Linked DNA regions of Macaca mulatta. The protein of the gene in region 3 purifies or fractionates together with the protein of the main gene of each other region. This does not show direct contact. Links are inferred from orthologs where the notes say so. Each region holds a gene or a part of one and is shown on either strand. Other genes may lie near its edges.

The links.
Region 1: the proteins of EAPP (region 3) and ECD purify together in Homo sapiens (affinity purification with mass spectrometry; 3 studies listed by BioGRID and IntAct, counting the BioPlex papers as one, with this or other methods). This does not show direct contact. The link is inferred for Macaca mulatta from reciprocal best matches to the Homo sapiens genes EAPP and ECD.
Region 2: the proteins of EAPP (region 3) and RUVBL2 purify together in Homo sapiens (affinity purification with mass spectrometry; 3 studies listed by BioGRID and IntAct, with this or other methods). This does not show direct contact. The link is inferred for Macaca mulatta from reciprocal best matches to the Homo sapiens genes EAPP and RUVBL2.

Annotation. Positions count from the first base shown.
Region 1 is NC_133414.1:76,420,266-76,423,916, forward strand, and holds part of ECD (protein ecdysoneless homolog), read left to right. Parts: intron 1-3,062; coding exon 3,063-3,169; intron 3,170-3,308; coding exon 3,309-3,495; intron 3,496-3,651. UniProt on the Homo sapiens protein: Regulator of p53/TP53 stability and function. Inhibits MDM2-mediated degradation of p53/TP53 possibly by cooperating in part with TXNIP. May be involved transcriptional regulation. In vitro has intrinsic transactivation activity enhanced by EP300.
Region 2 is NC_133424.1:61,467,651-61,470,604, forward strand, and holds part of RUVBL2 (ruvB-like 2), read left to right. Parts: coding exon 1-95; intron 96-193; coding exon 194-312; intron 313-2,954. UniProt on the Homo sapiens protein: Possesses single-stranded DNA-stimulated ATPase and ATP-dependent DNA helicase (5' to 3') activity; hexamerization is thought to be critical for ATP hydrolysis and adjacent subunits in the ring-like structure contribute to the ATPase activity.
Region 3 is NC_133412.1:107,651,586-107,655,765, reverse strand, and holds the start of EAPP (E2F-associated phosphoprotein), read left to right. Parts: upstream 1-1,258; 5' UTR 1,259-1,331; coding exon 1,332-1,405; intron 1,406-4,180. UniProt on the Homo sapiens protein: May play an important role in the fine-tuning of both major E2F1 activities, the regulation of the cell-cycle and the induction of apoptosis. Promotes S-phase entry, and inhibits p14(ARP) expression.

The DNA.
Region 1 (3,651 bases), on a different chromosome or scaffold from region 3:
TTTAGCAGAGACAGGGTTTCACCATGTTGGCCAGGATGGTCTCAATCTCCTGGCCTTGTGATCTGCCCTCCTCAGCCTCCCAAAGTGCTGGGATTACATCTCTACAATATTTTTAAGTTACATGATAAACCTATACCCTTTTTTGTCAATTAAAAATAAATAAATAGGCCGGGCGCATTGGCTCATGCCTGTAATCCCAGCACTTTGGGAGACCGAGGTGGGCGAATCACCTGAGGTCAGGAGTTTGAGACCAACCTGGCCAACATGGTGAAACCCCATCTCTACTACAAGTACAAAAAATTAGCCGGATGAGGTGGTGGGCACCTGTAATCCCAGCTACTCAAATTAAAAATACACAAACAAATAGCCAGGCACAGTGGCTCATGCCTGTAATCCCAGCTACTTGCTGAGGTAGGAAGATTGCTTGAGCCCAAGAGTCAAGGCTGCAGTGAGCTGTGATCATGCCACGCACTCTAGCCTAGGCGACAGAGTGAGACCCTGTCTTAGAAAAAGAAAAAAAAGAAACTATGCACAGAGATACTTATGTGTTGAGTGAGTGACATAATGCTGACATGATTTGTTACATAAATTGATGGCACCCTGTCTGAACTATTAAGAATGGACCAGATCAAGTTGTATAAAGGACTTGCTTTAATTGAATAAACATTTGCATATCTTGCAAAATCACATAGGTGATGGGGAACTGTCTCTACTCTGTATTATTAATATGTAAACATTACTAGGAGAGAGAAAAGAATAACCCAAATAATCATAACAAAAGGCAAAATAAAAATCATTGTGGAATATCAATGCTAAAGAGAGTCATAGTGAGAAGGTAATAAACTTTCACAAAGGTTGAAGCAGAGAAGTTAAAAAAAGAAAGATAATGGAAGGCTTCAGGGAGGAGGTATTTCAGTTAAGTCTTAAAGAATGAGGATTTTTTTTTTTTTGACTGTGTCTTGCTCTTTTTTTTTGAGATGGAGTCTCGCTCTGTAGCCCAGGCTGGAATGCAGTGGCGTGATCCCAGCTCACTGCAAGCTCCACCTCCCAGGTTCATGCCATTCTCCTGCCTCAGCCTCCCAAGTAGCTGGGACTACAGGCGCCCGCCACCATGCCTGGCTTTTTTTTTTTTTTTTTAGTAGAGATGGGGTTTCACTGTGTTAGACAGGATGGTCTCGATCTCCTGACCTCGTGATCCGCCCGCCTCGGCCTCCCAAAGTACTGGGATTACAGGCGTGAGCCACGGCCCCCACCCAATGGAGTCTTTCTCTTGTCGCCCAGCTTGGAGTGCAATGGCATGATCTTGGCTCACTGCAACCTCTGCCTCCTGGGTAGTACAGACTTTGCAAGAGTTATAGAACTTCCCTGGGCTCTGGTTTTCTCATCTGTAAAACAGGATTATTACCTTCTATAATAATGAGGAGAGGACTCAATAAGAAAATGTATTTAAAGTGTTAGCATAGCATTTAATACATGCTAGATAAATTTTAATTGATACTTTCCTTCTGGATCTTCTTTTCTTTATATATAAAATACATATGTTATATGTATGTCTTTATGTATTTTTAGTACGTCTTTTATATGTATATGTACTATTAATATAATACAACTCTTTCTATGTACATATATATACATATAGACCCTGTCTATACATATATGTATAGAAAGAATTATACGAGATCAGTGGCTTCATAATGATGTTCCATGGAGCCTGCTTCAGAGCCAAAAGGGAAGGCAAATTGTGTAGATCTCTGAACCTCTATCCTCCACTTGATTTATTTTTATTTTATTTTATTTATTTATTGAGACGGAGTCTTGCTCTGTTGCCCATGCTGGGGTGGCTCACTGCAACTTCTACCTCCCGGGTTCAAGCAATTCTCCTGCCTCAGCCTCCCGAGTAGCTGGGATTACAGGCGTGTGCCACAATGCCCAGCTAATTTTTGTATTTTTAGTAGAGACGGAGTTTCACCATGTTGGCCAAGTGAACTCCTGACCTCAAGTGATCTCCCCTCCTTGGCCTCCCAGAGTGCTGGGATTACAGGCATGAGCCATCGTGCCTGGCCTATCCTCCACTTTAATTAAGGCCATTTTTCTTTGAGCCCTTCTATATTTTAGAATTCCTGGTAAAAGTTTTTTTTTTTGAGAAAAAGGGATCTGTAACCTAAAAATATGCTTAAAAACAAATTAGAAGGTTGGGCACGGTGGCTCATGTCTGTAATCCCAGCACTTTGGGAGGCCGAGGCAGGGGGATCACGAGGTCAGGAGTTCGAGACCAACTTGGCCAATATGGTGAAACCCCATCTTTACTGAAAATACAAAAATTAGCCAGGCGTGGTGGCGCATGCCTGTAGTTTCAGCTACTTGGGAGGTTGAGGCATGGTAACTGCTTCAACCCAGGAGGCAGAGGTTGTGGTGAGCCGAGGTCGTGCCACTGCACTCCACCCTAGGTGGCAGAGTGAGACTCTGTCAAAAACAAACAAACAAACAAATTAGAGCCAGGTGTTTTGGCATGTACTTGTAGTGCCGGCTACTTGGGAGGCTGAAGTAGGAGGATCACTTGAACCCAGGAGTTCGAGTCCATTCTGGGCAACAATGAAACCCCATCTCTTTATTTTTTTTATTTTTATTTTTATTTTTTTTGAGACGGAGTCTCACTCTGTCGCCCAGGCTGGAGTGCAGTGACGCGATCTCGGCTCACTGCAAGCTCCGCCTCCCGGGTTTACGCCATTCTCCTGCCTCAGCCTCCCAACTAGCTGGGACTACAGGCGCCCACCACCGCGTCTGGCTAATTTTTTGTATTTTTAGTAGAGACGGGGTTTCACCATGTTCGCCAGGATGGTCTCGATCTCCTGACCTCGTGATCCGCCCGCCTCGGCCTCCCAAAGTGCTGGGATTACAAGCATGAGCCACCGCGCCCGGCCCCCATCTCTTTAAAAAAAAAAAAAAAAAAAACTCCCCAAATTAGACTAGCTAATCCCTTCCAACTTTAAAATACTATGTATTTATGATTACTATTCTAGGTTCTCTTATGAAGAAATACTCATGTTTTTTATTTTTCATAGTTCTCTTGCTATGAGCCCTGGTGAAGAAATCTTAACCTTATTACAGACAATACCATTTGATATAGAAGACCTTAAGAAAGAAGCAGCTAATCTTCCTCCAGAGGATGGTAAGTGATGGACCAGGATACAGTGGAAGGGTTAAAAAAAAAAAAATTAAAATGTTCTTCTAAGTCTCACAGGATCCTCTCCTAAGAGGACTTATCATGTGAATGTAGAATGGCAATATCATGCTTTCTTCTTTTTCAGATGACCAGTGGTTAGATCTCTCACCAGATCAGCTGGACCAGCTGCTGCAGGAAGCTGCTGGCAAAAAAGATTCAGAGTCTATTTCCAAGGAGGAGAAGGAGCAGAACTATGACTTAACTCAAGTCTCAGAGAGCATGAAAGCTTTCATATCCAAAGTCTCAACCCACAAGGGAGCAGAGCTGCCTCGGTAATTTGTGTTAAAGTATAAATATATAAATAGTTAGAACCCAAATGTTGAAGTCATAGTCATTGCCATTTCCACTTTTTTTTTTTTTTGAGTAAATGAGTTGTACAGATTTCTTTCTTTTTTGTGCCTAGTATGGTGATAACTTACTTATCTGAA
Region 2 (2,954 bases), on a different chromosome or scaffold from region 3:
GTGACACAGGGGAGATCAAGTCAGAAGTCCGCGAGCAGATCAATGCCAAGGTGGCAGAGTGGCGCGAGGAGGGCAAGGCGGAGATCATCCCTGGAGTGAGGACCTGGGACATGGCCGGGGCAGGTGGCGGGGTGGGAGTGGGCTGGGGAAGCAGGGACGTGGGTGGTGACTCTCACACACACCCCAATCCCAGGTGCTGTTCATTGATGAGGTCCACATGCTGGACATCGAGAGCTTTTCCTTCCTCAACCGGGCCCTGGAGAGTGACATGGCGCCCGTCCTGATCATGGCCACCAACCGTGGCATCACGCGGTGAGCCAGCTGCAGGGGCCTCTGGGGAAAACGGGATGCTCCGGGCAGTGGATGTGGTCAGAGGGTCCACAGGGAGCCTGTGTTGACACCTGATCAGGGAGGGACCCGTGACTGCGGTGTGCGCTCTTCCCTTACAAAAGGCGGGTGGGAGGCAGCTCTGCTCCCCGAGGAAGCCCAGAGACTGTTCTTGCTGCCTTTCTGTCTTGCTACTCCTTTGGCCCCCAAGGCTGCAGTTTTCAAACTGCGTGCGAAGCGCCCCAGGGCGCTGCAGGAAACTCACAGGAGTGCTGTGGGATGTTCTCTAATCTTGAGGGAAGCACAGTGACATCTGTTAGACACGACATAAACTACGACTGTTCAGTCACTTCGACCCAACAACTTCATTCACAGAACTCTTACTGTTGTGTTTGGCCTGAGGATGCCAGGGACAGATTCCCATGACACAGAGGGTACCATGCTCTGCTGAAGCCTGGGGACCTCGTCTCCCAGGTGTTGCCAGCACCGTGTGCGTGGGGAACTCTTAGTGTTGTGTTTGGTCTGAGGATGCCGGGGACAGATTCCTGTGACACAGAGGGTACTGTGCTGTGCTGAAGCCTGGGAACCTCGTCTCCCAGGTGTTGCCAGCACCCTATGTAGCTGGGATTATGGGCACCCGCCACCATGCCTGCTGGCTGTCTTCTCCACCTCGCCACATTTTGGCCCGCAGGAAGCAGGGGGATGTGGAGGGCAGGCAGCTCCCATAGGCTGTGATCCACAGGCTGCACCCCACCCTTGTACCCACATCCCATTGCCCGGTGCTGCTCAGGCTCAGGGCCGTACCTGGTGGCAAAGAAGGCTGGGGACTGCAGCTGTGGGCCCAGCTGAAACTGGGTGGTTGGGGTGGGCACCACAAAAGGGATGAAGCAGGCATCCTACAGAGGATGGTGGGCCGCTGTGCCTGGCTCTGTTGGCTCTTTTAACTCCTTGGATCTGCAGAAGAAGCTCAGAAGGTAGATATCACCTCAGTGCCATTTTACAGGGCAGGACAGTGAGGCCCAGTGACTTGCCCAGGTCACAAGTCTAGAAAGTGGCAGAGCCCGAATTTGGTCTCTCGGTGGCTGGACACTGGAAGAGACCCCCAGCGCTGATGGTGTTTTCACAGAAACCGCAGGTCAGGGCCTGGGGACTGCCCAGGGGCACCTCCTGTGGGAGGCAGCAGCTACCAGCAGCCCTGGTTGTTTGTAGACTCTGTATCTGAGAATCTCCTTGCTTGCTAAGATTTATTTGTAATCCGCAAGTAAATATCTGCCCTGCTTTTGACCACAAATTCGAGTCACCTGACACCCACTTTCCTAGCTGAGTGTGAATGAGGCAACACTGGCTGCTTCCTTTAGCTCATGCTGTAAATAAGTGTCCTTGTTGTATTCTATTTAGTGCTACGTTTTCACTTTCGTTTTTTGAGACAGGGTCTTGCTCTGTTGCCCAGGCTGGAGTATAGAGGCATGATCATGGCTCACTGCAGCCTCAGTGCCTGCCACACACACATACACACACACACACACCACCCCTGGGGCTCAATCAATCCTCTGGCCTCAGCCTCCTCATCAGCTGGGACCATGGGCGTGCACCACTATGCCTAGCTAATTTTTGTTTTTGTTTTGAGGCGGAGTCTAGCTCTCTTGCCAGGCTGGAGTGCAGTGGCACGATCTTGGCTCACTGCAAGCTCTGCCTCCCGGGTTCAAGCAGTTCTCCTGCCTCAGTCTCCCGAGTAGCTGGGATTGCAGACACCCCCCACCATGCCTGGCTAATTTTGGTAGTTTTAGTAGAGACGGGGTTTCACCATATTGGCCAGGCTGGTCTCGAGCTCCTGACCTCGTGATCTGCCCACCTTGGCCTCCCAAAGTGTTGGAATTACAGGGGTGAGCCACTGCGTCCGGCCTAATTTTATTTTTTTATTTTTCATTTTTTATTTTTTACTTTTGTATTTTTTTGTAGAGATGGGGTTTTGCCATGTTGCCCAGGCTGGCCTACAACTCCTGGGCTCAAGCAATCCGCCTGCCTCAGCCTCCCAAAGTATTGTCACATTTTTGTGCCTTTTTAAAAAAAAAAACTTTTTGGGGCCATTTGTTGGTGATATTGCCATTTGCAATGTCCCCTGTGTACAGTGCTGAAGTGCTGTCTGGTATTCTGAGTGCAAGGAGGCTGTGATGCCGGACGGAGGAAATACCGTGCTACAGACGCTTCGCTGAGCCCAAGTTAGAATGCTGTTGACATGAGCTCCATGTTAGAGAATAAACAGTGATATTACATAAACACATGAAAATAGAAACACACATAAATGAGGCCAAGTGCAGTAGCTCACTCCTGTAATCCCAACACTTTGGGAGGCTGAGGTGGGCAGATCACGAGGTCAAGAGAACGACGAGACCATCCCAGCCAACATGATGAAACCCCGTGTCTATTAAAAATAGAAAAAATTAGCTGGGCATAGTGACGTGCGCCTGTAGACCCAGCTACTTGGGAGGCTGAGGCAGGAGGATCGGTTGAACTCGGGAGGCGGAGGTTGCAGTGAGCCGAGGTCATGCCACTGCACTCCAGCCTCACAACAGAGCGAGACTCCGTCTTAAAAAACATAACAGAGGCCGGGCGCGGTGGCTGAAGCC
Region 3 (4,180 bases):
TGTAAACAAACTAGGAACCCATCCAAGGGGTGACAGGCCCAAATCCCTATGGGTCTCCAAATGGTAGAAAAATTAGAAAACGATAGTGGAAAAATCCAACCACGCAACCTAACTTTAAACTAGGAATGACAGTAATGTTCATTCACATTAGAAAGGCCGACAGTGTTTGTAATATAACTACTGGCGACAGTATCCTATTTGTATGCCAACTTTCATCTCAAGTATTCTACTTTTCTTTCCCCACAGACAAACAAGTGTTGTTCTTTACAGCAGACCTCTTTCCCTCTACATACCAATCTATCCACTCGCATAACTACTAAGTGGCTCACTGGTATATGTCTCATGCTTAATTGGCTGAGCTAGGCGTGGAATCCTGGAAACCACAACAGACTGTACTTTGCTCCTGTATTTCAGGAATAACTGTCGCTAACCTGCCTCTGTCCGATTCCACCTTCTATGAAGTACACACAGAGGAGCAGTTCATTCTTTTGTAAAGGGATTGGTGGACTTTGTTCGAGATGCCATTTCAAAAGAAACGAGAAAAAAGAAAAACTAAGACCTGCACTGTAAAGCATTATATAGGAGTAGATTTATTACAGCTACTTCACATTTTAGAGAGTGCTACGGTGTCTCAGTAGGAGGCAGGAACCCGAGTTCCTCGTTCAGAAACAGGGTTGGAAACAGTCTCCCGATGGAGATCAAGTGGCTGTCATCTGCCTGGTCTCCTCAAGTATCGAGTGGGATCAGTTGAGGGCTGAGCAAAAGTGGGGACTGGGAAGATGACGAGAAAATATAACTTTTCGGTAGATTGTCGAGGCCAAAGTCAGACTGAGGAGTGAACAGTGTGAAGGAGCGGTTGAGAGCCTCACGGTGTGGAAGGCATAAGGGTTAGAGGCGAGGTTGGCGAGATGCGGGTGCTGGTGTCTGAGGACCTATTGGATTTCGGGCCGTGTGTCCCTCAGCGTCTAGATTCCTGCTTCGTAGGTGATGAGACACTGCATGTAGCGTGTTCCCCTCAGAGACTACCACTTACGAGAGTGCCCATCATTATTTTTGGTGGCAAGGTAGCTGCTATTTTCCTGTAAGCAGAAGCCGCGGAAGAAAATGGTGGGATTAAGACCCGCCCCCGTCTCCGCCCCTTTTCGCTCCTGCTCCGCCCCTTCCCCGCCTTCTACGTGCCCCCCTTGCTTTGGTCGGTCTGCGCAGGCGCGCAAGGGGGACTCGGAAGTTCAGACGGAAGTGGCGTCAGGGGAGCTTTAGGGACTGGACCGGCAGTGTAAACAGAGACGCTGCAAATCGCTTGTGGATGGTGTAGGCCGCTGCAGGCCACCATGAACCGGCTTCCGGATGATTACGACCCCTACGCGGTTGAAGAGCCTAGCGACGAGGATCCGGCTTTAAGCAGGTGGGCCCCTGCCCCACCCTGGCCCCCGAGGATTTGGGTCGAGGCCTGGCTTTGATCGCCTCACTCGTTGCGCCTGCCGAGCCTATGCAGACCCTGGCGGCTCGGGAGCCTGTCGTGCCTCACTGTCACTTGTGCGAGGCTAAAGGGCTTTCCTGATGGGGTCGCGCAGCCCCGGGGGGGGGCGGGGCCGATGTCTCCTGTAGGAAGAGGGATATTCCGGAATCACGGGGGATCGCGTGTAAATCTTCAAAAGCAATGAGATCGAAACCTACCTCTACAGCTTAGTAGCAGAGTGACGGAAGGCAAGTCACTTATCCTCGATTACTCACCTGTAAAATTGAACTATAATAACGTATAGTTGTATAACCTATATAGCACAGTGTAACACACTACGTTTGTTGTGAGGCTCACAGGACTTAATGTGAAGTGTCCATCTTGAAGACTAAACTGCCATAAACAGAAATAAGGGAATGTTGAATAGCCTTTTTTTTTTTTAACGGGGACTGTTTTATGCTTGCTCTGAGCAACAGTGGGAAATCGGCCGGGCGCGGTGGCTCAAGCCTGTAATCCCAGCACTTTGGGAGGCCGAGATGGGCGGATCACAAGGTCAGGAGATCGAGACCATCCTGGCTAACATGGTGAAACCCCGTCTCTACTAAAAATACAAAAAACTAGCCGGGCGAGGTGGCGGGCGCCTGTAGTCCCAGCTACTCGGGAGGCTGAGGCAGGAGAATGGCGTAAACCCGGGAAGCGGAGCTTGCAGTGAGCTGAGATCCAGCCACTGCACTCCAGCCTGGGCGACAGAGCGAGACTCCGTCTCAAAAAAGAAAAAACAAAAAAACAAAAAACAGTGGGAAATCATAAGGTCCTTGTCTTCCAGAGGCTTATAGTATAATAAGGGTAATAAGATAAAGTACGGGCCGGGCGCGGTGGCTCACGCCTGTAATCCCAGCACTTTGGGAGGCCGAGGCGGGCGGATCACAAGGTCAGGAGATCGAGACCATCCTGGCTGACACTGTGAAACCCCGTCTCTACTAAAAATGCAAAAAATTAGCCGGGCGAGGCGGCGGGCGCCTGTAGTCCCAGCTACTCGGGAGGCTGAGGCAGGAGAATGGCGTGAACCCGGGAGGCGGAGCTTGCAGTGAGCCGAGATCGCGCCACTGCACTCCAGCCTGGGCGACTAAGTGAGACTCTGTCTCAAAAAAAAAAAAAAAAAAAAAAGATAAAGTACGTATATCTTGGCAGTGCGTTGTAGAAAATATTGACCTGAGATAGTCACAGAAGAAGGTTCGTGGTATTTCCAGAAGGGAGGTCTTTATTCTACCAGGGAAACTTGAAGCTATTTTGCCAAGAGATTTCCACACAAATTTAGTTATTTCTTAAGCTGTCAGCAAATCCTATTGTTAAACTTTAAAACATTCATTCTGTCCAAAGACGCTTTCTGTAAAGCTGTGCTTTCATTAACAACGTTGGCCAGGTGTGGTGGCCCATGCCTGTAATCCCAGGACTTTGGGAGGCTAAGGCGGGAGAATCTCTTGAGCCTAGTAGTAAAGGAACAGCCTGGGCAACATAGTGAGACCTCATTTCTTAAAAAAAGAAAAAAAATATCAAAAGAACAATGTTTCCTCATATTGTCATGGGGAGACATTGGATGCATGGGAAATCAGACTGCTGTTAAGATTTCTTTTGTGGGGAGTGAGGATGAATACCAGGATTCCCTACGAAAAAGAGTTTCAGTTAATGGGTCCTGTCTGTGAAAGGAGATATATATATGTCTTATTTATTTATTTATTTTGAGACAGAGTCTCACTCTGTCAGCCAGGCTGGAGTGCAGTGGCGTGATCTTGGTTCACTGTAGCCTCCACCTCCTGGGTTCCAGCAATTCTCCTGTCTCAGCCTCCTGGGTAGCTGGGATTACAGGCACGAGCTACCACGCCCGGCTTATTTTTTGTATTTTTAGTAGAGACGGAGTTTCACCATGTTGGCCAGGCCGGTCTCGAACTCCTGACCTTAGGCGATCCGCCCACCTCAGGCTCCCAAAGTGCTAGGATTACAAGGATGGGCCACTGAGCCCAGCCTGTTGTATCATTTCTTTAAGGAAGCTTTATAATCCTGTGACAGTTGCCACTGGTAAGGTAACTGTAAAGATAAATATTATAAAAACATAACAGTGTTATCAGACAATATTGCCTGTTGAAGGCTCTGAGCCAAATGGTTATTATTTTAAAAAGGGAGATTAGTGTTAGAGAGGTGTCTGTCAGGATTTAATTTTACACTATTTATAAGCTAATACATTGTAGCCTGTTACTGTTTCACGGTAGCTGACCGAAGACATGAGACTCCTGGGTCAAAGATAAGACTACACATAGCACAGCAAGCAGCATGAGCATCATGTTTGTGTGGCTTGCTCTTGCTTGTCAACCCTACAGGTATTATGCTGATGGTCCTAGAAGAATGCTGCACATTCAGTGGGTTGGCATCGTGGCTAAAGAATACTTGAGCTTGGAGAATCCACCTCTTTCATGGCAGACAGTAAATACACCTGCTCTTTGTCCTGGAAGGAGACATTATCTCATTCCTCAAGGTTGTTTGTTGCAAACACAATCCTGAGAAATGGCTGGAGTGAACAGTGGTCAGAACCTTGCATTCTTGGCATACTTAACTTGCATATCCAGTGTCCATGATTTATTATTGCCTTTCCCAGTAGTGCTGAAAACTGAGACTTTGGTTGAAATAATCAAAAGAATTGAAGAAAATTTGTAGAAAAAATAACTC